Solanum lycopersicum: one gene and its partners. The protein of the gene in region 7 binds, or shares a complex with, the protein of the main gene of each other region. Links are inferred from orthologs where the notes say so. Each region holds a gene or a part of one and is shown on either strand. Other genes may lie near its edges. The genes, in order: U1 small nuclear ribonucleoprotein 70 kDa, serine/arginine-rich splicing factor RS2Z32, serine/arginine-rich splicing factor SR30, serine/arginine-rich splicing factor SR45a, putative serine/arginine-rich splicing factor, suppressor of mec-8 and unc-52 protein homolog 2 and serine/arginine-rich splicing factor SR45.

Region 1 (3,692 bases), on a different chromosome or scaffold from region 7:
CATTCTGTGTATAAACTTATAGCATGGATTGCACTTCAGTATTTTGATAAGAACTTATTGAATTCGGCAGTTGTCTGTTAAATAATAAACTGATTAGCTCTCGACTTTCTTAGTGCTTCAGATCATCAAAAAACACGTTTTATCCGGAGAACTTTTTTTTCAATTGTATCTTTGGGTGCATCTCTTCAGGCTGTAGTTAAGAAATGGATTGTTTTTTAAACTGCTAGCACTCTTCCCTGGTGTTCGAGGTGCATACTGCTCTCTGAAAATGGGTGATTTTTTTTGTGAAGTTACTAGTTTTTCTTTGCTTTGTAAAATAAAGGTCAGATTGCCAGTATGCCCTTCCTCAGGTAACAGTACTCCAATTATTGAGTATCAGTTTGATGCCTTTATCCTCTTATCCTGGTTTGGATATCATTAGTTTCAAGTACTATTCATTCTGGTATTCCTTTAGTTTCTAGAACCACAAAGGTAAAGATGTTCAACTCCTAGGTATTTTCCTGGTAAGGGTAAAACTTAATTATCTGGTAGCTTTATGTTTTTTTGAGTTGCCAAACATAACCATTCAATTTCCAAGTCCGAGCTACATTACATGAAACAAAGCTGAACACTTAGATGAGCAGAGCAATGATGCAATATATCTTTGGCCTCTTATTCCAAGCAACACCGGAGATTGATACTTGCCTTTACTTGGTAAAAAAACTGTTGGGAGTATCGACCTTTTCTCTTCTTTACTCTTCTTACATCCCATCTATGCTGCTAAGATTTTACTTTTGGATTCAAAGGCTATCAAAAAAGTTTCAAGCATTTCAGGAGACACCTGGTATTTGACTATACTTCTATAATAATTTATTTTATTTTAAAATGTTCCCTGGTAAGGGGAGTTAGAATATATTGCAAACATAAGGCCACAGTTCTTGTGCAACTCTAGCAGTGATGGTGAAGCATCTCGCCTGGGAGCTCTTTGATTCAAAGGTGAGCACGGCTAATTAGGCATAGTGCCTGCCGTGCCATTAGGAGCTTACTATACCTAATCGCGTTGAGTAGATAAAAAACATTAACTTTTTTGACCGCTGCATCGAAAATGATTATAATGTTATTAGTAGTGTCAATTCCATAAATTGTTTGAGTTTCAGGTTCGCTTGGTTATGGACAAGACAAACAATAAACCCAGGGGTTATGCTTTCATTGAGTATGTGCATACACGGGATATGAAAGGTTTCTCTAAACTCCTGTTCTTCTGTCTTTTCGAAGTCTCACTTCCATCTCTAATTCTTTTGGATATAATTCAGCTGCGTATAAACAAGCTGATGGAAAGAAGATTGATAATAGAAGAGTGCTGGTTGATGTAGAACGTGGTAGAACAGTCCCCAATTGGCGTCCCCGCAGACTTGGTGGTGGACTTGGAACAACAAGAGTTGGAAATGAAGATGCTACTAGGTATTGCATGAACTTGTCATATGTGCATTGCATAGTGCTATAACGGACATTGATCTCAGCTCTTCTTTAGTGCAATAATGGTTCCTGTAGTGTCTATGGAGTAAGAACGCTATTTTGATAGATACAGCAAGACATGTTTGCTTGTAGTTGACATGAACTGCTTTTTTGAATTTCAACTCATCTTTTGGGTTATATGGATGCTTCAGTTTGTGTTTTTTTCCCTATAAAGGACTTGCTGCTCTGAGCATTTATGTATGACGTCTTGCTTAGAAGTTGAATTTATTATTGTTTGGCATTCAGTTTGATAATTACTCGTAAAATGTTCTTAAAAGTAGTTTTTTTTTTGTGTAGTTGCCCTCTTGGTATGATTGTAAAAGTGAAAAGCTTAAATTCTTGGATGGAATTTTAATTATTGAAGACTCTAATACTCCTTTTATTTTTCAGAGAGGTGGTTCAGCCTGGAAGGGCAGCATCTCGCTCTGAGGAGCCAAGAGCACGAGATGACAGGGATAGGTAACAACCTAGGCATTTATAGCTTATGCTTGCTTTGAGTTTCTTTCTCCCAATTTGACTCCCAGACAAATTTCTACTTCTCCAAGGATGAGTTGTCTGATTTACTACTCTGTTTAGTTTAAATGTGAGTTAATACTATAATGTGTTTCACGTCTAATACAATTATGAATTCCCATATTAGCAGGGATCGGGAGAAGTCCCGTGAAAGGGTGCGAGATAAGGACAGAGAGAAATCTCGTGAGCGTTCTCATGACAGGCCAAGGGAACGTGAAAGAGATGACAAACATCATAGGGAACGCGAGAGAACCAGAGAAAGAGAAAAAGATCGTGGTCGTGACCGTGATCGAGACCGCGAACGTGATAGGACACGTGACCGTGAGCGAGGCAAAGACAGAGACCGGGATGGTCACCGTGAGCGAGATCGTCACCGTGAGAAGGACAGGGAAAGAGGTAGGGATGAAGGTGAGGTTGACCAGGGTCGTGGGCGTTCTCGTGATAGAGAATATGATTATGAGCATGTTGATTCAAAACACGAGCGAGACCGACACGGTGACAAAGAGAGGAATTATGATCCTGCAGAACCTGAAGATGATCATGGACATTATGACTATTATGATCACCACCAAGGTCGAGGAGATTATGAGAATCCAGATGCACAAGGTGGGGATGATCGCTATAAAGATGCCAGTCGTGGTCATGATCGTTATGATCAAATGGAAGAGGATAATTATGCTTATGACCACGGGGCATCTGAGACAAAAGAAAGGGATCGGGATTACAAGCGTTCAGATAGGTCACATTCTCGTGAATATGACTACTGACGATGAAGAGTATGCTTCAGCCTGTGTTGCTGTGGTAAGGTTGCAATAAAATCCACATGCTATGTAGGTACTTTTTAATTTGTCAGTCAATAATATTGCTGCATTAGACTTGTCTGAATTTTTGACTCACAGGAAGACATGGCCTACTGATACCTCAGTGAAAATGCAATTATCTGTTGGATTACCTACTTGACTAGTGCGGGGATGGAAACATTAAAGATGATGATGCGGCGCATCAGCCCATGTTTTGAATTTTGTATCTTCTTTTGGAATTGTTTGGTAAATTACTTGCTGAGTTCTAATGTGACTTGTTAAATGCGAATTTATTGGGGATGTGTGCGCGGTAATGTGTTTGTTATGTGGTATTGTATGTTGAACAGATTATTCGCTTATGTTATGGTATTGTGGCACTTTATTATGGATCTGTTTTTGGGTATTATATCCGATGATCAAAATAGTCTTGATATTTCTTCGAGGGGGCTGGAATCCTGTAGAATAATAATAAATTAATTAAATTGTCCAGCGTCTAAATTATTTAGAAAATTGTAGGGATATCTTTATCATGTCTTTCAGGCTTCAAAGTAGTTATAAATGTGTGAAATGGATTTCGTTCTTATCCTTTAACCACAGGTCTTTGAGTTTTGAGTGAGATGTCTCTACCTTGCTGGGTCGTATGCTCTGTATATTTATGGATGGTCAGAGTTTTGATAGCCAAGAAGTATAGTTCGTTTACATAAAATGTTGAATAGAAAATGCTTGGAGTTCAGTAGTTACCAATAAGTACGCCTTACTGACTTTGTTCAAAGGCATGCTTTGTTTTGTACGAGTAAAAAGAGTTTCATATAAATGACATTTATATCAACACGATTTACATGTCTGTGTGGCCCTTTAATCTATTTCCCTTACATAATTAAAATG
Region 2 (4,213 bases), on a different chromosome or scaffold from region 7:
TTACAGATATCGATTTGGTAAGGAACTACAGTATAATATATGATTCGAAGCACAGAATTATTCAATGTTAAAGAAGAGATTTTTGATTTATGAAACTAACGTCGGTAGAGAAAATGAAATACGGAGATTTGTGTGTGTATATATATGGCGTAACTTGATTTTCAGTCGAAAAAAAATTCAACCCGATTGACTTATTCGGGTCGTAATTTGTGGGGGGGGAGGGGGGGTCGTGTTTGAGTTTTTTTTTTTTCGCATTTTAGATGTTATAATATATGATTGAGTCGAGAGAGGATGTATTCGAAATAATATTTTTATCATAAGTGGATAAGTAATCTTTATTTATATTATAATATATATCCTTCAAGTCTCAATTGTGTGACTGAATATTAATATGATGTTGTTGTGTAATATATGGTTAATTTATTGATTTCGTAAATCTGAATTATGAATTTTTAACATTTTTGATTTATTATGTTTTCTAATTCAATTTTTTTGAGATAAAATGTATGGTTTTAGAATAGATTATATATAACGTTATTTATACGAAAGACACTTAATCAATACAACGATTAAAAATTCTCATTCATATTATGCAATTTTCGCTTAGAAGAATAATTGAATATCACAAAAATAAATGAGATGAGAAAAATGAACATTGACAAAAGCTTTTAAATAGCTACAATAGTACCAAATATAATAAATACAAATCGATATACATGAATAAAGTGAAGGAAGGCGCACATATAATTTGCAGATATATTCTTTTTTTTTTTAATTGTTTTAGTGTCACGTGTTAATTCATGCGTTTTATAAAAGAGATTGTCAATCACGTGTATAGTGAGAAGCTATCCTTAATAAATGTTTGACGTTCAATTAGTCAGATTCTTAGTTTATATATATAAACAAAATAGTACTATAATTTTCTATTGTCTGAGTTTGAGTGAGAAATACATCAAGATTTTCGTGTGTTTACTCATAATGCTTTTGTTTTTCGTATAATGGATCTTGGCTCGCACTTTATGGAATTTCCACTGGGAAAAGAATTCAAACATTTCTTATGTACCTGTGATGGAAAACGTTTGAACTCTATCTCTTTTCTTTTCATTCTATTTTGCTTTCGTTCTCTTTCTTATGAATTGTTATCAGAAACGGTAGACTGCGCAGAAAAGGATTCAGGTGGAAAAGCGTATACCTTCTCTATATCCAACAACAACTAAATAAACGATAAACTTGTAATTTCTTAATTTCGATATAGATTAGATGAATACATCAAAATCGAATATTCGTGCATTCCGATTTCCGCCCGAGAGAAGAAAAAAGAGGAGGAGGTTTCACATTTGGGAGAGAACTCAAATGGGCTTAGAGTTAGAAGCCCACTCCATGAAAACAACATAACAATAAGCCCATAGCTGTTGAGGCCCAAACTTTAGTATATAAATCAGAGAGAGACCACTGTGCTATACTCTTTTGAACGAATTGGATCTAGGGTTCTTACATTTCTGTGCCTTTTTCAATTTTCAGGTAAGCGATTTGCGATTCAAAACCCTTTTTTCTCATATATTTTTGATAAAAATAGCTTTCTTCATCATAATATATGTGCCTGTGCATAATTCATCTAGAAATTGGTATTAATTCCGAGTAATTTGGATGAAATTTTGTGTTTTTTTGACTCGGAATATTCCGTAAAGAGGTGTTTTTTTTGTTACTAGTTTTGTTTTATGTTATATAGATATGGCGTTTGTGCTAAATTCATTTGAAAAAATGTAATTGAGCTGTTTTTATTATATACGTGCTAATTGGGTAGTTTCTTTTGGTATGATGTGCATTTGTAATATGTATGTGCTTTTTGACTTTGAAAATTCATTCAAGATGCCTTTTTTGGTTTTAGTTTTGTTTGATGTATATTGAGCTGGCATTTTGTGCTAAAGTGATTGGAAAATAGTAAAGGAGTTATTTTTATGTTCAAGAGATCATATAATATGGGAAAGGGGCTAATTTGGTAGTTACTTTCAGTGAAGATGTAGTGGTTTGATGAGATTTTGTATTATATGTGTTTTTTGTAGTTTCGTTTGATGTTTTATTGAGCTGGCATTTGTGTTAAATTCATTGGAAAAAAGTAATACAGCTATTTTTAATGATTAAGAGATCATATAATTTGGGAAAGGAGCTAATTGGGTAGTTTCATCCGGGAAGATGCGCTATCATGAAATTTTGTATTATATGTTCCTTTTTGACTCGGATAGTTCATTCGTTAGGCATTTTTTTAGTTCTGATTTCGCTTGATATTTTATTGAGCTTTCATTTGTGCTGAATTCATTTGGAAAAAAAAGTATATGAGCTAAAAACAAATTTATGTTAAGAGATAGTATAATTAGGAGAGGAGCTAATTGGGTAGTTTGTTTCAGAGAAGATGCCGCGGTATGATGACAGGTATGGTGGCACACGCCTATATGTTGGACATTTGTCTTCCCGGACGCGATCTCGAGACTTGGAGGACGTCTTTAGCAGATATGGGAGGTAATTTTTTAACCATTCATTACTTTTATGCAGTGATCGGAAAGTTATTGAAATTTGAGTAATTGAATATTGAGATTCCAAGAGGATAAAGATTGAGCTTTTAGTTGTTTAATTTTGTTAGTGGAATGAAATACGCCTAAGTAGAGTAGAATAGATATAAAAGATTCATATGGTTGATCTCAACTTGTCTGGTATTAGGTGTTGATTGATTGATTGCTGTACTTGGTGATTATTTTATTGTGATCATTTTTTAGAAATGATGTTGCTTCTAGTAGTTCACAGTCTTTGTTCTTTGGGGGTGGAGATGAGACACACTAGTCGTTACAGTGACCTTTGTTTTATTTTTTTAAAATTTGTAGAAAATGTGAGAGCAACACCCCGTGTCTTGGTGTTTTTAACTCGAATAATGTTTATGAAGGTTTCTATGTTTTTGCCCAATCCGGAGGTTTGTGGTGGGAGGTTGCCCTTGATGAATTGGTTCCCATTCTTGCGGAGTGTGGCGATTCTTTCTATAATGTTATTGCGTATTTTTTTGATGGAAATGGCACAATCCAAAAAGTGGTGTTTAGTTCATCTTTGAGGGGCGAAGTATCAACCCTTTGGTTCTTATGACTTGATGGCCTTACTGTTTCTGGAACCCATTTACGCAGAGTACGTGATGTGGATATGAAGCGTGACTATGCTTTTGTGGTACGCCTTTCTTCTTCTTCTTTTTTTCCTTTTCTGTTCACTTCTTCATTAATGATATTTCTTAGGGTTGTAGGGTGATCATCTAATCCTTGTTTCATATATTTGTGATTTAAGCTTCTTTCTTTTCTTCATATACTGCTAAATCTAGGAGTTTAGTGATCCTCGAGATGCCGATGATGCAAGATACGGCCTAAATGGGCGAGATGTTGATGGAAGTCGTGTTATCGTGGAGTTCGCCAAAGGGGTGAGTAAAAGTTTGGATTTGATATGTGTTCGTAACTGCAATATGCATAGTATCTTTATGTTTTATTTTTGCAACTCTAGCAAATTACACTCACATGGACATGTGCATTTTGAATATCAATGCAAAAAAAGAAAAACCAAAAAGAATTTCAGGCTTTATGCCCAATGAGTGGGAAAATATGGTGGAACTCGATTATTTCCGAGATGATGCTTCAGTTCTCAATATAAGTATATTACTCTACAATTGGCATGTCACAGAGGGGAGAAAGAAGATCTTGGTTTATCACTTTCGTTGAAGTAGTTAAGTTGCTTCAAGGATTTGTTTTCTTGGTATTTTGAGGAGTTATGCACGCCTTAATCTATCTAATGCTTCAGATTGGTTAAACAAAAAGCTGTCCTTTTTATGTTGGAGTTTACTTGCATCGCAGGTGCCTCGTGGTCCAGGTGGATCTCGAGAGTTTGGTGGCAGAGGTCCTCCTCCAGGTACTGGTCGTTGCTTTAATTGTGGAATTGATGGACATTGGGCTCGAGATTGTAAAGCTGGGGACTGGAAGAACAAGTGTTACCGCTGTGGAGACCGAGGTCATATAGAAAGGAACTGTCAGAATAGCCCCAAGAAATTGAAGTATTTTCCTAGTTGCCACCTTATTTCACCCTGTGTATTTTTTGATGTTCTAGTATACTTTAATGATTAAAGGTTATTATTTGTTTTTGAATGACAGACGTGACCGAAGTTATTCCCGCTCACCATCTCCTCGGCGTG
Region 3 (4,078 bases), on a different chromosome or scaffold from region 7:
GGCTTAGTTGAATCCCAAAGATAGAGTTGTTATTTATTATTCCGATTGCTCATGGGAAAGACTCTAACTATCTTCAAGAAACGTATTAACGTGTCTCTAAACCAAGCAAAAATTATTTTGTATTCCTTGTAATTTTATTATTCTTGTTCATTTGTTCTAACCGTTTCTTATTAGTGGGCGGCAATTGGAGAAATTGATATGAATGACTTGTATGGTCAGATTTATTAGTTTTTATTCAAACTATTTGTAACCATTTGAATTGAGTTGTTTGATCATATTGTGCTCTCATTACTTGCTTATGCTATATTTTTATCCTTTTATAAGAGTTCACCATCCTCTCCCTTAACCAATCATTATGCGTATATTCTAAGCTAGATTATGAATGTATTATTAAGAAAATGTGAATCTAAAATAAAAAGTTCGATTAGTTTGGTATTTATGTTTTAAGTATTAAAAAATTATTAAAGTTTTAAAAATATAAATATAAAATTATTTTTTATCTATCCAAATCACTTAGATAAGAGACTTTACCTAATTTTTAAAAAGAAAAACAAAACAAGATAAATAAAAGGTTCAAATTTCTAAATTCACGTGCATCTAATCATCACACGACACTATATGACGTTTCAAATATAGATTTACACATCTATAATTAAGTACTTTTTAACTAATATAACACTACTATATTTGATTTAAGAATAAAGAACATGAATTCACGTGAACCCACTAACCCCTCCTAAATATGCCTCTGGTTCTAAGAATTTCTATGCTGGTGTTTGCTTATGGCATTAAATAATAATTAATTTTATATTTGTAGATTAATGATATCTATTATATTAATTAAATATTAACCTTTAATTCTAAGGACTTGCTTAAGATAACAATGATAAGACACATGAAGAAGGATCAATTATCAAATAGTTGAAAACAACAAGAAAATTTACTATGCTATTCTTGACAAATTATTGAACACTATTAATTCAGAAAAAAAAAATTTACTCTCCTATATTTATTATAAAATCGAAAGATAGGTGAGAGAAGAATAATTATAATCTAATCCTAAAACACGTATTTTGCATATTTGATTTCTCATATGCAGTGGATTTTGTTTTTGAAAAAATAACCACCATTGGAAAAGTATATTTTATTTCCCACTTATCTTATTCCTTATGAGTTACTTTATCATTAAAATATTCAAAAGTGTCCTAGGACAGATGTCATGTATCGACGTGTTTAGATTTAGGAAAGTTTCTAGACGTAACGTTCGATAGCGACTTTTTTTCTCCTATATATAAAACTATTTCTATTTATTTTATCAACTCTAATCTTCTTCCATTTTTTGCTTTCTACGCAACCTGTCGTCGTTGTATATCTTCTAGGTTAGCTGCTTCTCCTTTTCTTCTCCTAATACAATTTATTAGGTCAAAATAACATGCTATTATTTTTCATTGCTTCTCTGTTTTGTCTATGCAAAATTCTGTTTTCTATGTCACACATAATTTTTGATTTCCTAGTTCTTGAAGAATCTTTAGGGTTTTTCTATTGTTTTTTATGCGATCATAATCAAGAGCTTATAATAAGAACAGTTTAAATATATAAAGGATTACCTATCAGTAAAGAATTTCGTTGAATTTCTTGATTTCCGTCTCCCCGTACTATTAATCGGCGGTTATTTGAGTGTTTGGCACGTTTTTTTTTTAATGGAAAATAATTTTCTAACGTATGTGTTGGTGTGATGACTATTTTCCCTAAAAGTTAGTATTAGATATTAACTATCCATAATATTAAAAATTTTGGTATTGTTCTGATGAAACTTTTAGGTATAAATGTTGATAGTAAGTGCAAGAAAAATGACTTGAGAGTTGAGTCATAAATGATCGGAAGTTATTTCTCCCTTTTGATGGAACCTGTTGGAAAATATCTTCGGAAGTTATTTCTTTGTATATCTGATGTTAGATGTGACTACTATTGCTGACGAGCATAATCTTTAAGAATTGATTTAGATTGATAAGTTTATGGTTTTTGCTACTCGGATTCTATTTTGATTTTGGTGTTCGTAACTTATTCTTTATGTAGAAAAATGATTTAGATTGATAAATTTATGGTTTTTGCTACTTGGATTCTTATATTCTATAAAACTTCATTTTGATTTTGGTGTTTGTAACATTATTCTTTATTTAGAAGCTTTTCTTTTACAAATCAAGAACTGTTATAGTTTTAAGATTATCTTCTTGTATTTTGTTGCGATGTTACTTTACTTTTCTTCTTTGTTTTATCCTTCCTTAGTTTGGCCATTCCTTAAGTCTTTCACGGATGAGTTACAGTCAACTTTGGTAAGCCTCTCCTCCCTCCAAACCAAAAAAGAAAAAGGAAATAAACTTCTCTTATTTGCATTCTTGACTGTCTACATTACCACTTAAATCTTACTTTACTAGATAAATTAAAAAGAATTGTCCACATTACCACTTCCAATGTTTGAACAAGCTGCTTATTTTTTTGGGTAATGATTTCAGGCAATATGGGTCGTCTAAGTCGGACTATCTACGTTGGAAATCTTCCTGGTGATATTCGGGAGAGAGAAGTAGAAGATTTGTTTTACAAGGTTAGTTAGATAAATTACTAGTTGCTGGAAAAATACATTGTATCCAATTTCATGTGCTCGCTATCACTAATCTATACATTTACCTTCAATTTGTTGCTCCTTTTGTGTTCATGCCACCTAAAAAAGCTACAATAGGTTTCATGAGAAGTTGTATTTTTGGATGGATCGGAGGATGAACGAATTTGATTAACACAGAGGGAAATAAGTTGCTCCTTTTATCCAAATCACGTTCTAATGAAAGCGTAATCATCTTCTTTTGCTTTTTTAGAGTGTGAGAATACTTGTTTTTTCCTCATTTAAGTTTAATCTCTTCAATGGTTCGGACCTATTCAGTGAGCTTCCATTATTGTCACAGTACTCATTCGGCCTTTCAGTTTTCGAAGTAGCTCCTGAAAGCCATCTAATTTGGTACTTTTGGTGTTCTTTTCCTAATAGAGAAGCCACACAACTTCGCAATGCAATATAAATTAGACATGTTTTAAGTTTATTGCTCAAGTCTTTCTGTCATTATGTTAAGTAATGTAATTGCTTTTGGTTGATTCCTAGGTAGGTTTCCTTGAGATATATTATAAGTTATGGATTTTTTTGATGTGTATTCACTTACCTTCTGAATTTTCTCGGTGATTTTCTGCAGTATGGTCCCATTGTGGAAATTGATTTGAAAGTTCCACCTAGACCACCTGGTTATGCGTTCGTAGAGGTGAGTTCTTTTCTAAGAGTTGAATCACTAAGATGTTAGTTTTATCCTTGGGAATCATTCTATTAGGGGTTTTGGAGATATATCCCCACATAAAAATCAACTTTAGTTTACACAATATTTGATTGGAGTTTGATCTTAGTCTCCACAGAAAAGCAAGAATTACTTAATACACTGTCTAGTTGTTCCCTTTTGTTTTCGTTATAATAATACATGCATGAGTTATGCAGGAATCATTTTATGTGGGATAGAATGAGAAATAAAAATATGTGTATCTGTAATGTAATACATGGATTTAAAAATGGCAAGAATATCATTCATAATAGTTCTTTTTTTTTAAAAGCAAACATATGTTTTAAAATTATACACATATACTATTAATATGTAACCTGATCAAACTAAATACCAACAAGAAATAATCTGCGTTATGCAATCCTTGTATTCTTAATCTTTACATTACTAATCCTGGCGTAAGTGGCCTCTAAACCAAACAATCCCTTATTGTATTGGGAGATAGCTCAATTTTCTGCATGCGTTTCTTTATGCTACAGAATTTCCGATAGATCTAATTGGTGTCATTCCTTTTGTATTTTCCAGTTTGAAGATCCTCGTGATGCTGATGATGCCATTCGTGGGCGTGATGGCTATGACTTTGACGGGCATCGCTTGCGAGTTAGTTGTCTCACACCCTCCCCTCCTCTCTTGGTGATGTGGTGATGTGGGAAGTCGGATCGTTTTACCATATTGTTGTTTATAATTATCTTTGTAGGTTGAACTTG
Region 4 (3,954 bases), on a different chromosome or scaffold from region 7:
CCAGTGGCGGAACAATCAAAGTTCGCATCGTTCACCAGATCCTTAATCGATTCTAGAACTTTCTTCAGCAGACTTCCCTGAACAAGACGTAGTTCCAACATTTTGTCCTCTGCGGGAAACTAGGGTTAGGGTTTTGAAATGGGGAAGGAGGGAAAACAGAGGTGTCTGAATGAAAAATAGAGCGAAAATGAGTGGAGTAATGGGGTTAGGGTTTATATAGCTGCTGGAAAAGTGTGCTCGAGAATATAGGGCTCCCTATTGGCGGGAAATGAATTGTCAGAAAATAAAATAAGTTCCCGCCATTATTTTGATTTTGGGCTACTTGAGCCCATAAATCAATTGGGCCTGCTTCGAGAAAGGCCTTGGGTTTTAATCTCTCATATTCAAATAGAAAAAATTACGCAACAAAATAGATTTATACTATTAAAATTACTTATCATAGTTATAATTTACTATAATTATCACTCGTAATTAATATTATACATTAATTACGTGAACTAATTTTGAGTTTGTATAATAGTCACGTTTGTATATGTATAATTCGCCAGAATATACAAATACATATGTATAATATATAATTATTCAACCTATATATATACAATTCACCTCTCTCCCCTCTCGCTCGCCTCTCTCCTCACTCTCCCAATCTCCCTCACCTCTCTCCTCCCTTTTCCAATCTCGCTTGCCCTATATACAAATGTATATGTATAGCATACATTTACACACACATACAATTCACCTCTCTCCCACTCTCTGCCCTGTCTCGCTCGCCTCTCTCCTTCCTCTCCTAGTCTCGCTCGCTTCTCTCTTTCTTCTCATTCTCTCACTTTGCCATATATACAAATACATATGTATAATATACAATTACTAAATGATATACATGTATATTTCACCTTTCTCTCACTCTCTCCCGGTCTCGCTTGTTTCTCTCCTCCGGTCTCGCTTGTTTCTCTCCTCCATATAACACATAGTTACGAATTATAATTATTAAACTATAGTTATAGAGAGTAATTAGCTATTTTAAATGACTATATACGAAAATTTCTCCATTTAAATATGGATAGAAACAATTTTTTTTTTTTTTGGTTTGGTAGAATAATGTGACAAATTCAAGTCCAATCAAAAAGGATTTCGTGTCCCTCATCTAGAAACTTCTTTACGCTACAGGTATATAGTAGAAAGCCTTTCCCAACCGAGTCATTTTATTTCGAGAGCCTTCGCAAATTAGAGAGAGAAAGAGAAGTATTTCGATCCTACGCTACCATAATCTCTTCACGGTGAGTCTTCTTTTTCCATCTCTTAATTCCTTTCTTCGATACGAATTAGCTAAAAAGCTGATGAGATTGTATGTCATTTGCGTTTGTGATCGGCATCAACGTTTGATTCAAATTGAATTTTCTATTACCTAAGCGGATTAGATGATTCTTCCGTTCATTTTTTGCCCAGAACATAGAGAACTAAACAGTCTCGGTCGATTTTTGGTTTATTGTGTATTTTTGTCTTTGAGTTGATTTGTGATTTTGTTGTTTTGACATATAGCAATTAATGCTTTTCACACTGATCCTTTTGAATTCCAGTACATCCACGGGAGCATAAATATATATAGATGTGTAAAGCGTTACCAGTGTTATAGATTTAAAGTCAGAATTAAAGCATAAAAGTGGAATTGGTTCAGTTCTATTATCCTTATATAAAAGTTTTAAGTACTTGATCCGCCTCTATTTTTATCAGTAGCTAATTGTTGTTGTCTGCTTGGTTTGACAAATTTCAAACTATGATCCTATCGCATAGTTTGTTATCCTTTAATCACCAAGGAGAACTTTACTTTCTACTTTTATGATTGCTGGGATTCTAGAAGCTAAAAGGTAAAGTAATAGAGGAGAATATAAGATGGGAATTAGGAAACCTTTAATTTAAATCAAAAGATAAATTGATGTTCCGTTATTGAAACGGAGTAGACAGAGTGAGGCAGAGTCGATTTAGAGGAATTATATTGTCTGCATCGGTTAGTTTTGTATTGTTTGACAAATCAGTGATCTTGATTTGATGGTTTTACTTACTATATATCTGCTGGGTTTGTGATAAAACACCCTGTTTTATCGTCTTTCTTCTCAATATTATTAGCCTAAGCTTACCATTCTGTTTGATGTTAACTGCAGATGTCGTACTCCAGGAGGTCAAGGTATTGTTGGTCTTAATATGGGTTTTATATGGTCATTATTCCTAGTCATGTTCAATATGACATTTATATTGCAGGTATTCTCGCTCACCTTCATACGATCGATATAGCAAGTCTGTCTCAAGGTCCAGATGTGTTTCAAGGAGTCGGTCAAGGTACATGTTGGCAATGTTCTATTAATATGGTGGTAATTAGAGTTCATGTTATTTAACTTTATTATAATGGCAGGAGCTGTGATTCAAGTGATGTTGAGAACCCAGGGAACAATTTGTATGTGACTGGTCTCTCAACCCGCGTTAAGGAGCGAGATATTGAGAAGCATTTTTCTGCTGAGGGGAAGGTATGTTTGTTGCTTCTTCAGATTGCCTTCCCGTTCTCTGTAGTCAGTTCATTTAGGTCTTTTGCACTTTATTCAAAAGAAAAGAACTCCGTAGGATTTGCTCCCATGTGCGTTCACATTGTCGAGGATATCAACCTCATTAAATGCTTTTTTCTCTGGTTAGGTTGAAGATGTTCGTCTTGTTTTAGACCCATGGACCCACGAATCTCGTGGGTTTGGTTTCGTGACGATGTCCAGCGTTGAGGAGGCTGATCGCTGCATCAAGTCTCTGAATCGCTCAATACTTGAAGGCAGAGTTATCACCGTGGAGAAGGTAGAATTTATTGAATATTTGCTCAGTTTTGTTGAATCTTATGTTTGCAATTTTCGCTGGTATCAGCTCTCAGTTGTATCAATATCTTATATTTGCTTCAGTAATTTGATCAGTTTGAAAGTTGTTTGCTTGTTTCGCCTGAGTTTCTTTGGCAGCAAGGTAGCTGTGTGTAGCAGCTCTTCACCAAAGTCCAAATAACAAATCAAAACACATCAAGCAAACAGACTGTCAACCAGAGGGTTGTAGCCTTCATTTTTCTTTATTCAGCTGCGCCCTTGTTGCTATTGTTCATTTTCTATTGGTTACTTATATCGTGATATTGTTATATTGCATCAACCTGCCAGAGTCTAGATTTGCTGTCTGACAATTGTATCCTATGCAGGCCAGGAGGAGAAGAGGTAGAACACCTACTCCAGGAAAATATTTGGGGCTTAGAACTGTTCGCGGTATGATATTGTATCCTTTCCTAAGCAATAATTGACCTGGGTTATTTGTCTGTGATGTCTTCTAATTTCCACCTTGTAAATGTAGTTCGTCGTGAATCACGAACTTATCCTCATTATTCAAGGAATCACTCTCCTTGTTACTCATCTGAAAGCTACAGGAGCAGGAGCAGGTCTTACTCTCCATATTACCGACAAGAGCATAGATCATACTCTTATTACAGAGGACGCCAGAGATCTCACTCATCGTATTACAGTCGGCACCACTGCTACTCAGAATCACCTTATTCTCCTTACTATAGTCGTGGAAGATCTTACTCTCGATCTTTATCCCCATATAATGGGCGTGATCGGTCCTACTCTCCAGATGACTGTTATTACAGAAGGAGCCGTTACCATGACTATTCTCCCGACAATCATCGGCGTGATCGTTCCTATTCTCCAGATGACCGTTACTATAGAAGAAGCCGCTACCGTGACTACTCTCCTGAAAGCCATGATCTTTCAGACTCTCCAGATGTTCGTGACAACAGAATGAGCCGCTATCGCGACTACTCTCCGAACAACAGTTACTATTATCGAAGGAACCGATATCGTTCCATTTCTCGGAGCATTTCTCCTCGGTATCGGAGAAGCTACTCGCGCAGTGTATCACCTAGGTGGTCAAAGAGGAGCTATT
Region 5 (3,966 bases), on a different chromosome or scaffold from region 7:
TTTGTGTTTTTGTATAAAATGAGAGAGGCGATTGAGCAAGCTAAATCCGAGAGAGTGGCGAGCGAGACCTGGGAGAGGGGAACGAAAATATATGTATATATACAATTTTCTCTCGCTTTATGCATACACAAACACATTTTATACATTTGCACATTTGTATAAAGTGAGAGAGGCAATTGAGCAAGCGAGATCCAGAAGAGTGGCGAGCGAGATTTGGGAGAGAGGAGAGAGGGGAACGAAAATATATATATATACAATTTTCTTTCGCTTTATACAAACACAAACATATTTTATACATTTGCATTTTTGTATGAAGCGAGAGAGGCGATTGAGCAAGCGATAACTGGGGAGTGGCGAGCGAGATCTAGGAGAGGGGAACGAAAATATATGTATATATACAATTTTCTCTCGCTTTATTAAAACACAAACGCATTTTATACATTTGTGTTTTTATAAAAGCGAGAGAGGCGAGGGTAAAAACGAGAGTGGCGAGCAAGATTCACCAGGAGGGAGGTGAAATAACAATAGTTTGCTATGTGGTACAATTAAATCAAACTACAGTTATAACATTTAATTTTCATCTTTCAACTTGAATTTATCATAAAACTAACAAATTTCACAAAAATCAAGTCATTCTTTTGCCATTATAATTTTTAGATACGCTAAAAATATTATCGTGAACTTTTTCGATACTTAAAATTAGCATTATGCAAAATCTTTTAATTTGACTGTTGTTTTCATTTATCTTTCATGTAATTTGATGTTAAAAATTATATTAGTTGAAATATTTTTTTTCTCAATTGAATAGATTAGAAACGACGTTTGTTGGATATTTCACTTTTAATAATGTAGAACGAAACTCAAATGCAAGACATAATCACTTCAATATTAGATTGACTCAAAGATTTATTGATCTAAATACCATTTAACTTTGAAAAAGGTAAAGATAATTAAGCTCCAAATTCTTTTTGTTACTGAAAGATAAGACATTTGTTAATAGTCACGTGATGAACTACTCATATTTTTATAAAATTCCTTAGTTTTTTGACCATATTTAATGAAAAAATAAAAATTATTAACTTTCAAATTATCTAAAAATGTTTTTGGCCAAGAACTCTCGTAAGGACCTATTATATGCTTTACATGAAAGAAGGGGGCGTTTTGTGTATTAGTTCAAAAATAAAGGAAAAATTTATTTTTCTCTGAATCGGAGAGGTGAGCTAGGGTTTTCAATTCCAAGTAAATTAAACGAGGGTTTTGGATTTTCTCTTCACAGAGAGAGGACGAGGGTAATGGGAAGGTACAGAAGCCGTAGTCGGAGCCTTAGCAGAAGTTACAGTCCCGTGAGACGTAAACGCCACGATGAACCACGTGACCGGCGCCGAGAACGTCGCTCTCCGGGACCTTCTGGCCTTCTCGTTCGTAATATCCCCCTTAGCGCCAGGTATGAATCCTCTTCCCCATTTTACCTGGTCCAGATACTACCCCACCCCCAAACATTAACATAAATTATGGCAATTCTCTTTCTCATTTGTTGTTGTTGTTGTTGTGAACTCATATGCAAGTCACAGTTTCCCTATCTCAGTGATTGAAATGCTTAACATGCCTTTGTCTGAAGTAAATGGCTTATTAGGCGTTTAAGGGAGTTTTCAAGTGTTATGCCTTTTGTGCTTTTCAGGTTATTATTTCTCTAGGTATGTTGGTTAACAATGAGTCTCTTTCATACAGGCCTTTAATAGCTCATGCATTTGTCAACCAAAATTTGATTTTTGAGTTATTTCAGTCCTCATACTAATCCTTCTTTGTATATATTATAATGATTTTGATTATGAGAGCTCGGTTCGATAGAGAAAACTTCAGATCAAAGTTATCTATTGAAATAATAATGTAACAAATAAATTGGAGTTCTTGAAAGTTTTATTGAATGGATAGAATGGTGTTAAATATTTTGGGACATCTCAAAATCGAAAGAGCTTTGCATCCTTCAACTTGAGCTCCTCTCAAACCATAAAAGTTCTCCTGAACTTATCTCAACAACATCACTCTGATTTGAATTATATTATCCATCAAATACATTTTTTATTCTCATAGTAAATTAGGGAATAACTTCGTCAAAATAATTGGATCGATTGGCAAATTAGCACTCTTCCAACACTTACTATGCTATATTGGATCTAAAGAACAACATATCAATGACCTGTTTAAGTTCATCTTTTTGACTTGAATTTGCAAAAGATAATTATGAATTGATTGATTAATCAATCAACTCAGTGTCGGACAAAAAAAAATATTATGTAAGAACCAGTGTTTTCAAAAACGTTTTTGGGCGAGTCTTGGGGCGGGGCGTACCAAAAATGCTCTGGGGTGTAAATTAAAACATATATCCAAGCGTAAGTCCTGGACATAAAAATTTAAGTCTTGGGCGTAAAAGCTAATTCCTCAACATCACAATTAAAAGCTAATGTTGAGGAATAAGCTATCTTATCTCCATACATTTATACACATGGGCTATAAAGTTACTTATTTGTCAGATGGCTATAGACCTTTTGTAATTATAGAATATGAAAAAAGAAATGAAATTGCATATTTTTTATAGTGGTTTCTGCTTATCAGTGAACTTGGGTTAATAAAAGATTGCACACCCAATTTTTCTTTAGGTTGGGTAGAGTAGTTTTCATTTCTATTTCATTAACGGCTTGCTCTCTCTCCCTCTCTCATCAAATTTTGCTATTTTCTTTTAATAACCGTGGTCTCTGAGGTAGCTTTCGTGCATCGACTAATTCCACAAGATATCTGCTACATCCCACTAGCAACAGATACTTAGTAACTCTATTTACCAAGGGTGGACAGAGAAAGAATCACCTAGTTTTCTTCTGTATCTGTTGGGATTTGAACCTGATACAAAGTTAATCATTTTGTACTTTTTCTGCAGGCCAGAAGATCTTAGGGTCCCCTTTGAACGCTATGGTCCCATAAGAGATGTTTATCTTCCCAAGAATTATCACACTGGGTATGCCATTACCTTGATAGATGGATTCTCATTTTGTACTATATTTAGCAAGTAATGAATCTGTTTCCTCTATGTCCCGTTATCTGTTGATATCACCATGATCAATAACATCACAATTAAGCCTTGATACCTAGCTAGTTAGTGTTGGCAGTATGAATCTTCATTATCTTACTATCCTTTTCGTCTCGTATAGACCAGTGTCGTCAAAAGCAAACAGTGCAAAAAGCTCTGAGTGTTTGGGGCTTGTAGCACAAATCGCTAATAAAATGTGAGTTTTAATGGAAAAAGGCGCAAAGGGTAAACAATACAAAATATATATGTTTAGTTTAAGACTAATAGCTAGAAGCATGAATGATAATTATATGGTCAAAAAAGCTGAAAATATTTATCACAATAAAGTGAAATGTCCATTGTTTAGTGTCACCTTTTCAAAGAAGCTCAGTGGCAAAGAAAAGTATGTCTTGGAACCTTGATGAATAAAGTGAAACGGACATTAAGCGACGCGACGGGCTCAACACTTTTAAATTCACCTTTGAAAACACTGGTATATATGTCTCATTCAAATATCAATAAATGAATGTTGTCTACACCTTTTATTTACATACAGATTTTGCACCACAACTTCAGAGTCCCTAACAAATATTTGACTAGGTGAGTTTATCAACAAGTTTAAGCTTTAATCTCGACTACTTAAAATCACTTATTTGTAATATTCTCTTCGTGTGTGCTCTAGAATATACATTTTTTGGAGACAATTTAATGCCATATTTTCAAGTCTACCTCGTTCTCTTTTACATCTTAGAGATTTACGACATATCTGGCCAAATCATTGCAAGCAGCTTTCCCTCACTTTCATAAATTGATAAGCTTTACATTAACAGTCAGCATATTGCAACCCTCCTTCTTGACTGAGTCTAAACCAGGCAACTTGCAATGTGAGCTCATCATGATATTTT
Region 6 (3,989 bases), on a different chromosome or scaffold from region 7:
GGTGATGAATAATTGGTGAAGATTCTCCACAAATAACATAACATTGAATCAATAAAACCACATTTACTTCATCAAAAAAAAAATCAATAGAACCACATTTGTCCAGATTCCGACAGTCCGTAGGTGGCATCGTGGTGCAGCTGCTGAAGGAAGATGGGGAAATCTAACCAAATGTGAGGTTACGGAGTGCGTGACGAACCGTCGTATTCATAACGATCCGTCCTGCTAGTTCGTCATGAAGGTCAGAGAAGTAGTCCAGTACCCAAATTCCAAGAGTTTAAGTGTTTTGGAACGGAGACCCTCGACGGACCGTTGTGCTTGTGACGATCCGTCATATCTGTCGTTGAGGATAATGAAGAGAGCAGCAGAAGAAATTGAACAAGTATGGGATGACGGAGTCCATGACGGTCCATCGTGACCACGACGATCCGTCGCGAGGTTCGTCGACCCAGCCGCGTTTTGACAGATTTCCAGCAAATAGAGTCCTTATGTAATTAGTTTTTTTTTTTATATAAATTGTTCGAAAAATCTCCTTTGTAAAGTTTAAGTGCAATGGTAATCGTAATCAAAAAGGAATTGTCACAAAAAGTTACCAGAAGACCATGCAGCCTTTCTCTTTTTCGTTTTTCCTTTTTAAGAAAAAGACAATGGATCATATACAAGAGTTTGATATATCAACAAATAAAAAAATATAAATAAGAGGACATTACTTCCTCTATTTGAGACGTATGGTGGCAAAATTGTGAAGATGTTTGACATCTTCTTCTTCTTGTTCTTTTTAAATCTTATTTTAATGTAGTAACAATTTTTTAATTTTATATTAGAAAAAGAAGAAGAATAGGAATAAATAATGTTTTAGCAAAGAAATCTTTTTTGATGTTTTAACAAAGAACCTTGTTGCAAAGAAAGTGTAAAAATAAATAAAGTGTAAAGGGTATTTTTGTAAACATACATTTTTTAAATAGAAATTATGCAAGATTTGTTTTTTCTAATACATCAAACCAAACAGTGTATAAAAAATAATAATTGCATAACTAATGCAAGCATTACTAATACACCCTATTTTGCATTATTCTTATACACTCTATCAAACGACCCCTAAGTGTATTAGATGGACATTATATATATATATATATATATATATATATATATATATATATATAACACCATTTTCTTATCGATTAAATAAAAAACGCGCTCATTAGATTGTCAAAATCAATTAGTTAAAAATTGATAGTGTATATCTTATTGATTTGATTATCTTCACAAATCGAATAATGATAAATCGAAACAAAAAGTAGGAAGTTAGGGTTATTTTAGTCTTTTGGGGATGTTTATATGAGGTTGATTGTCTTCTTCGCTCGTTTCACCCTAATCTGGAATTTTTGGGAATAAGGTCTCAATCATGTCTTCTTCAAAGCGAAATCACAAGGAAAAGATTGTTCGTCGCAACAAGTTTGTTTCTCTCTTTCATCTTCGATTATGTAAATCTCAATAGATCCTTCTTTAATTTGCTGAAAAATGGGGGATTTTTCTATTGTTTTTGTTACAGAGAAGAGAAGGTTGAAGAACCGGAGTTACCAAAGTACAGAGACAGAGCTAAAGAAAGGAGAGAAGATCAAAATCCTGATTATGAACTCACTGAATTTGGTGGTTTTCATGCTGTTGCTCCTCCCGGGAATATTGATCTCCTGTAAAAAAAAAAAAAACGAAACACCCATTTCTCTTTTTCTTCGTTTAATTTTGTTCTAACTTTCTTGTTTTGAACTTTTACAGCTCTGCTGATGCTCAGAAATTATCTATTGAGAAGAGCAAGTATCTTGGAGGTTCGTATAGTCTGTGGTTGTACAAGAATATTTTTTAGTTTCAGTTCAGCAGTTTTCTTGATATATGGCTTCAGCTAATCAATCCTTGTTTTGGCTGATTGTAAATTAGGTGATGTGGAACATACACATTTGGTTAAAGGGTTAGATTATGCTTTGCTTCACAAAGTGAGAAGTGAAATAGATAAGAAGCCAGAAACTGGAGATGAGGCGTTAGAAGGAAAAGCTAGGTAAGTACTAGGTTACTTTATTGCTTAGTTGTATGTATGACTCATTTACTTCAACCCCAGGAATAAGTAACTGACTCTCCAAGAGCCTGTTAGTAATTTTCAGCTAATAAAGTTGATCCATGTGTAGCTCCCATTGGATAAGACTGTAGCTTTAGATAGGGAGTTCTTTTGTAGATGCCCCTTTATATGTTCTTCCATAGATTACCCTGATTTAGGGACACTCTGCTAACATCTTTTTGTGTATATGCAAAGTAATGAGCATATTTAGTGAATTGTTCTTTTGAACACCATGTCTAAGAAGCAGTGCTGCTGGAAACTGTTCGATTAACTATTCTATTTATCCCTTTTGCTAATAGAGGTGTAAAGGAAGATCATCAATTGTCATTCCGTACTGCAACTGCCAAGGTGCATTAACTCTTTCAATTGATTTCGTCTCAAATATTTCTAGTTGTTGCTTGGTGTAGTTATGTTTCAATAGAGTGACTAGTAAGTTTGGGGTTTCAGTCAGTATACCAATGGATAATCAAGCCTCAGACTGTTATAAAGACCAACGAAATGTTTCTTCCTGGACGGATGGCTTTTATTTTTAATATGGTATGTTTCCCTTTTATACTTCCTCTGCTCTTATGTGTTGTGTATGCTAGGTTCTACTTGCCTGAAAAGGAATTATTTCACAGACCATTAGTTGAGTCCTCTTATAGTGCGCTTAGACTTGAGATGTAATAGTAAACAAAATTTTGTACTTGTGATAGGTAGCTGAGAAGCTTCTATTTCTATATTGGATCATACTTTTTTTTTTTGGGCAAAACTGTAGTTAACTGTTGATGTCACGCTAGAGTTTAGCTTGTATGGCGGGGGTGAATAGTCTTTTCCTTCTGAAGGCCATTCTTTTTCTTGGAGGAAGGTGGAAAGGGTGTTGTCGGAAATTAGATGCTAGAATCGTTGAAGTTGATTTATTTTACTACTAAAATGTTTGGTGATCAGATGTGTCATATGGAATATGGATAGTGAAGAAGATGTGAAGATTTTGTTCACTTGCGGTTACTGTGTGTATGTTTTCTTTCACGGTCTCTCTTTTTCTTCACTTATGGTTGATGTGTATATTGCAGGATAGTGGATACTCCAATGATATTCCTACAACTCTACACAGAAGCAAAGCTGACTGTCCAGTCCTCGAGGTATTTCCCTTTTCCATACTGCATTACTGTCAGGCAATTTCTTCCTGAATTTTCCATCTGAATGGGTTATCTCATCTATATTTTTCAGGAAATGGTTACAGTCAGTGTTGATGGTTCTGTTCTAGACCGAATAGCTAAAATCATGTCCTATCTCCGTCTTGGATCATCAGGAAAAGTTCTCAAAAAGAAGAAGAAGGAAAAAGATAGCAAAGGTGCTTAGCGTTCGTGCCTTCTAAACCTTACTGTATTTTCTGAAAGTAATTAGAGTCACAATGTGATGTAGATTCTTATATATCCAGTTTGTTTTATGGGAACCTTTTCTCTAATTTCCGACTGGTGTTGTTGCATCCTTGGTAGGCCTATTAATATTATTGCTTACGAAAGTGAGTTTGGGCCTGGTTTCCTATAAAGAAGTACAATAGAATGTTTTGTAGCCGGGATAGAATGTGGGTTATTCTTCTTTGAAACCGGGGCACAGGGTGTAATTGAGTGTGAAGGTAGTTGATAACTAGATATAGTATGATTCTGTATTTCCATGGAGACTAAAAAAGAGCATTTTGGTTCTCTGGAGTCCTTATTATGTGTTTCCAACACTAAGTATACCTTGCTTCTTTTTCCTTTTTTCTGGGCTTTTGGATCTTCTTCTGTCACCTGTACATTAATGAAGAGCTGGGGGAGGGGGTCCCTTTTGCCCTTTTCTTGTTCTTTTGTTGGTGGTGAGTTATCTCTTCTCTTCATTGATAAGGAGCTGCACTTCT
Region 7 (4,022 bases):
ACTTCTCTACGAGAAATATACTTGTACAGCTCTGTATGTGCTTTGATTATACTACTTCTGAACTTCGTGAGCTTCATCTGTTATAAGCCTAAAGTACGCGTGGTGTTAAGACCTTGTTCATTTTCGCTCAACCAGAGTAAGGACATTCGAGTCATTGCCTCTTGTTGCTGTCCCTGCTTTGATTGTTATCTGTATGTCATACATAGTCCACATTAAGGAAACAATGTATATATAATGGCTAGTTTACTGATCTTTGTTGTGAGCCATAATTTGCTGTGTGGTGGCTGGCATTAAGTAATGGTTTCCTATAGCTCAAATTACATCCTTTTTAGGATGTCATTTCCTCAAAAAAAAGTCTCTCAACTATCTCAAACTCTTCGACTTTATATTACTTGTTGTATACATTAACCTTTACTTTGAAGTTTCATGTTCAAATCAAATTTTTTTTCTATCTGTTCAAATCTTAATGAATATAGTTGATAATTATTGATCGAGATATGCGCAACATTATTAAAGTGGTATTAGTCCAAATGCAAACAAATAATTTGTCTAAATGTGTACGAACTAGAATTAGAAAATCAAAATGGCAAGTGTATTAGGAAATTTAGTATGTGTATAGTCATTTGTTAATTAATAATTCTTTATTTAGTATGGTTTTAAGTTTATGTATGATTGATCTATGTTATTTAGTATTATATGGTATATAACTAAATAATACTCTTTCTGTTTTAAAAAAAAAGGCCTTTAACTAGGAACGGAGTTTAAGAAAAAAAAAATTTAATGTTGTGATTCTAAATTAAAATTATGTCAAATGTATCAAAATGCCCTTTAATCTTGTGGTTTTAAATATACCACGTGAAAAGTTAAAATTAAAGTGTTACTAAAAAAGGAAAGGGGTTATTCTTTTTGAAACAGACTAAAAAAGAAACAGGGACATTTTTTTTGAAATAGAGAAAGTAGTAAATTATCGTATTAGTTATACAAAAACTATTTATACATAAATAAACATGATTAAGAACAGAATTGCTGTTAGTATATTTAATCAAATTATAATTAAAAATATATCTAAATATTACTAATCCAATTATTACAATATCTAAATATTACTAATCCAATTATTACAAAATATTTTACTAAACGATCAATGTATACTCTATCAAACGACTCGTAAGTCCCAGTGAATACTCTTTGGGGATACAGCCCACTTCGGCCCATTTGTTTTTCGGGGCTAGAAGCTGATAACCTTTTTGCCCAAATGTACTCTGTCGACAGTTCTCTGTTATTAGGGTTTATCACTGGGGTTTCGGAGTAAGCTGTTGCCAATGGCGAAACCAGGTCGAGGCCGTGCGGCTTCACCGTCAGGCTCGTCTTCTCGTTCCCGGTCTCGTTCCCGTTCCCGGTCTCGCTCTTACACTCCTTCAAACTCTCGCTCCTCAAGTTCGCGTTCTCCATCTCGATCTAGATCCCGCTCCAGATCAATTTCTTCATCTTCCTCTGCTTCCCGGAGTGCAAGTTCTCGCAGCCCTAGTCGTCGCCCTCCATCTCAACGAAAAAGGTTTTTACTCTCTCTTTCAAATGTGTATTAGTTGCATAATGCATTTCTGTAGTAATTTCCCGCTTTTTCTTTTTTATTACGTGATACTGGTAGTTTGAGATTCGTATGCCATCAGAATGTCTGATGTCGGAGAGTTAACTTGCAAACTATAGAGGAGAAATAAGCCCAAATATGCTTTAACTTCTTTGAATTGAGGTGAAGTAGTTGCTGCTGTTGGTTAATGTGCTTATGGCTGCTTGAATTATGTTAGATTTGCGAGGTTTATGACATAGAAAAGTCTTATGGTTGAAGTAGAGTCGGGCACAAGTAGCACCAAGTCGCATTAAAATTGCTAGTTGCTGAATCTGAGTCTGATTGTCGTCTGGTTAGATATAGAATGGATATATGTTCTGTAGTTTTGCATCTCAAACATTATATAGGTCAAGAGGCTATTTTTGCTATGTAATTCATAGTTGTTCCATACCTTTCCACTGTCTGAAGAGTGTTAAGCTGTGTCCTCTAATTCCTGGGCCATGTGACATAATTCTCTGCTGCACTTCGCTTCTGCAAGTGCAGATAGCTTATATTTGATAATTTATGGCATTTCCTGCTGCTTTTCTTAAGTTATTCCAACATGCAAGTAGCAAAACTAGAATATTGGTTGCATCGGTTTTGCTTTTCTTGCCTTTCTTCCATTTAGACAACAAGAAACTGATTTCAATCCTCCGCGACTGTATAAAATAGAGTTGGAAACACAACTCAAGGGTGTAACACAGTGGTGAAAGAAGTGGGCGAAAATCTTGGAGACCAAGTTTCAAATCCAACAGAGACAAAAGACATTATGTTATTTATTTCTTTCCATCTGTCTAAGCTAGATATCTAAGTATTGATAGACAGAGTCATCCGATACGTGAGGTAGCAGGTACTTGCTTGTGGAGAAGTTGAGGTAGGCACATGACTGGAATAGAAAACTGGAAACAAGATATACTATGGTTAATCTTGAAGATTGGCCTCTTTTTTGTCGTCATATATTTTTGTTTATTTGTTATTGAGCTTAGACAGGTTGGACTAGCATGAAAATTTCTTGAAATGTTGCTGTTCTATTAGTTTTCTATCTTGCAAAATAGCTAAAGTACTTCACCAATCGTCCTATTTCTGAATGATCCTAAACCCTATCCTTTATTGTTTATATGGTTTTGTTAGCCCTGCTGGAGTATCTAAGCGAGGCCGCTCGCCGCCACCACCACCAGAGTCTAAGAAAGCTTCTCCACCTCCAAGGTAATGTTGTTTGTTTTTAAGCTGAGATTCGACTTTGGTTTATTCATTGAATAACTACTTATAAACCTCTTCCAATAACATCCAAATTTCTGTTTTTTTTGGGGGGGGGGATACCTTTCTTTTCTTGGTTTGTTTTTCTCCTCTTCCAAATGAAATTAACATACAGTAGGGTGCTGGGTTATTGTGAGCTATTTTGAATGTGGACTCAGTTGCATTTATCAGATCTTTTTTTGGAGAATGCATTGCAGCTGGACACGATTGTTCATAAATGATTTCGAATGCTCTTCAATTCCTTTCCATCCCAATTACTCAGACATGCGTGCTGTTGGTGCAACATTCAGTTATGCATCACATCCATTTTGGATGCAGTTGATAAAGATAGTTACTAATACCAATATCTTCTGATGATGCAAAAATGTTACTGCATGTAGCACTTCTGACATATGCATTGATAGGCTTTTTGATGTGTAACACTTGGGATCTGATTCCAGGAAAGTATCTCCTATACCTGAGTCGCGTGTAATTCATGTGGATCAACTCAGCAGGAATGTCAATGAAAACCATTTGAAAGAAATATTTGGTATGTTCTGCACTTCTTTTTGATTAGGTGAAGTTTATTTTGCCTGAGTTGTAGAAATTCTACACTAAGCTAGGGTTGTAACTGTCAACTGATAACCCAACAGCCCGTCCAGGGTAAATAGCCCATTATATCAGGTCCATACAGAAGAACCTAACAGAACTGAAATTCGGTTTGGTATTTGGTACTTCAACAAGTGAAGAGTCTAAAACCAAAGAATTGAACGCCAACTTCTAGTTCATTACTGTGAAATGGTCCAACCTTTTGGTTATAGATTCTATTTATTCTGTTTATTTAGCCTGGTTATATGTCAGACGTTCTAGTCTAATCCTGTTATTATGAGTTAGTTGACGAGCACAAACACACTATAGATTTAGCGCTTCATGTTCTCAAAAAAAAAAAAGAACTATAGATCTAGCGCTTCACTAGTCAAAGATAGTATAGCATAAAGATCGTCTCCACAGAGATTGGTACAAATAATAATTCAATCAAATCTTGCTAATTGTTATTTAGGAGATCAAGAGAAGAGAGTTGGTTGTGGTTATTAACCATGACTATAGACTATTTGTAACTTTAAGCAATTGGTAAATACCATGCTTAATAACAATTATAGAAGATAGGGTACAAAATGGA

Evidence for each region.
Region 1: serine/arginine-rich splicing factor SR45 (region 7) and U1 small nuclear ribonucleoprotein 70 kDa share a complex: the UniProt entries of both Arabidopsis thaliana proteins name them as parts of the spliceosome. The link is inferred for Solanum lycopersicum from reciprocal best matches to the Arabidopsis thaliana genes SR45 and U1-70K.
Region 2: serine/arginine-rich splicing factor SR45 (region 7) and serine/arginine-rich splicing factor RS2Z32 share a complex: the UniProt entries of both Arabidopsis thaliana proteins name them as parts of the spliceosome. The link is inferred for Solanum lycopersicum from reciprocal best matches to the Arabidopsis thaliana genes SR45 and RS2Z32.
Region 3: serine/arginine-rich splicing factor SR45 (region 7) and serine/arginine-rich splicing factor SR30 share a complex: the UniProt entries of both Arabidopsis thaliana proteins name them as parts of the spliceosome. The link is inferred for Solanum lycopersicum from reciprocal best matches to the Arabidopsis thaliana genes SR45 and SR30.
Region 4: serine/arginine-rich splicing factor SR45 (region 7) and serine/arginine-rich splicing factor SR45a share a complex: the UniProt entries of both Arabidopsis thaliana proteins name them as parts of the spliceosome. The link is inferred for Solanum lycopersicum from reciprocal best matches to the Arabidopsis thaliana genes SR45 and SR45a.
Region 5: serine/arginine-rich splicing factor SR45 (region 7) and putative serine/arginine-rich splicing factor share a complex: the UniProt entries of both Arabidopsis thaliana proteins name them as parts of the spliceosome. The link is inferred for Solanum lycopersicum from reciprocal best matches to the Arabidopsis thaliana genes SR45 and SCL28.
Region 6: serine/arginine-rich splicing factor SR45 (region 7) and suppressor of mec-8 and unc-52 protein homolog 2 share a complex: the UniProt entries of both Arabidopsis thaliana proteins name them as parts of the spliceosome. The link is inferred for Solanum lycopersicum from reciprocal best matches to the Arabidopsis thaliana genes SR45 and SMU2.

The regions. Positions count from the first base shown.
Region 1 is NC_090801.1:64,630,852-64,634,543, reverse strand, and holds the end of U1 small nuclear ribonucleoprotein 70 kDa, read left to right. Parts: intron 1-1,136; coding exon 1,137-1,218; intron 1,219-1,292; coding exon 1,293-1,440; intron 1,441-1,884; coding exon 1,885-1,953; intron 1,954-2,134; coding exon 2,135-2,774; 3' UTR 2,775-3,192; downstream 3,193-3,692. UniProt on the Arabidopsis thaliana protein: Mediates the splicing of pre-mRNA by binding to the loop I region of U1-snRNA.
Region 2 is NC_090804.1:67,964,612-67,968,824, forward strand, and holds the start of serine/arginine-rich splicing factor RS2Z32, read left to right. Parts: upstream 1-1,413; 5' UTR 1,414-1,521; intron 1,522-2,405; 5' UTR 2,406-2,410; coding exon 2,411-2,517; intron 2,518-2,935; exon of another isoform or gene 2,936-3,167; coding exon 3,168-3,207; intron 3,208-3,355; coding exon 3,356-3,451; intron 3,452-3,878; coding exon 3,879-4,075; intron 4,076-4,172; coding exon 4,173-4,213. UniProt on the Arabidopsis thaliana protein: Probably involved in intron recognition and spliceosome assembly.
Region 3 is NC_090800.1:85,834,309-85,838,386, reverse strand, and holds the start of serine/arginine-rich splicing factor SR30, read left to right. Parts: upstream 1-1,278; 5' UTR 1,279-1,379; intron 1,380-2,286; 5' UTR 2,287-2,333; intron 2,334-2,513; 5' UTR 2,514-2,518; coding exon 2,519-2,602; intron 2,603-3,236; coding exon 3,237-3,302; intron 3,303-3,896; coding exon 3,897-3,971; intron 3,972-4,068; coding exon 4,069-4,078. UniProt on the Arabidopsis thaliana protein: Regulatory splicing factor that modulates alternative splicing and gene expression in specific cell types. Autoregulates its own expression. Probably involved in intron recognition and spliceosome assembly.
Region 4 is NC_090805.1:50,114,495-50,118,448, forward strand, and holds the start of serine/arginine-rich splicing factor SR45a, read left to right. Parts: upstream 1-1,154; 5' UTR 1,155-1,277; intron 1,278-2,159; coding exon 2,160-2,182; intron 2,183-2,256; coding exon 2,257-2,334; intron 2,335-2,407; coding exon 2,408-2,519; intron 2,520-2,682; coding exon 2,683-2,832; intron 2,833-3,214; coding exon 3,215-3,278; intron 3,279-3,363; coding exon 3,364-3,954. Other genes in the region: PCNA (proliferating cell nuclear antigen), read right to left, coding at 1-101. UniProt on the Arabidopsis thaliana protein: Probable splicing factor involved in constitutive and/or alternative splicing events. May bridge the 5' and 3' components of the spliceosome.
Region 5 is NC_090800.1:76,026,055-76,030,020, reverse strand, and holds the start of putative serine/arginine-rich splicing factor, read left to right. Parts: upstream 1-1,166; 5' UTR 1,167-1,292; coding exon 1,293-1,444; intron 1,445-2,932; coding exon 2,933-3,010; intron 3,011-3,966. UniProt on the Arabidopsis thaliana protein: Involved in intron recognition and spliceosome assembly. Probably active at the 5' splice sites.
Region 6 is NC_090806.1:9,685,499-9,689,487, forward strand, and holds the start of suppressor of mec-8 and unc-52 protein homolog 2, read left to right. Parts: upstream 1-1,189; 5' UTR 1,190-1,405; coding exon 1,406-1,455; intron 1,456-1,552; coding exon 1,553-1,693; intron 1,694-1,776; coding exon 1,777-1,826; intron 1,827-1,935; coding exon 1,936-2,053; intron 2,054-2,409; coding exon 2,410-2,458; intron 2,459-2,557; coding exon 2,558-2,647; intron 2,648-3,162; coding exon 3,163-3,231; intron 3,232-3,319; coding exon 3,320-3,443; intron 3,444-3,989. UniProt on the Arabidopsis thaliana protein: Auxiliary spliceosomal protein involved in splicing of specific pre-mRNAs that affect multiple aspects of development.
Region 7 is NC_090809.1:751,335-755,356, reverse strand, and holds the start of serine/arginine-rich splicing factor SR45, read left to right. Parts: upstream 1-1,222; 5' UTR 1,223-1,322; coding exon 1,323-1,555; intron 1,556-2,737; coding exon 2,738-2,812; intron 2,813-3,303; coding exon 3,304-3,392; intron 3,393-4,022. UniProt on the Arabidopsis thaliana protein: Involved in 5' and 3' splicing site selection of introns, and may bridge the 5' and 3' components of the spliceosome. Isoform 1 is required during flower petal development and isoform 2 is involved in root growth.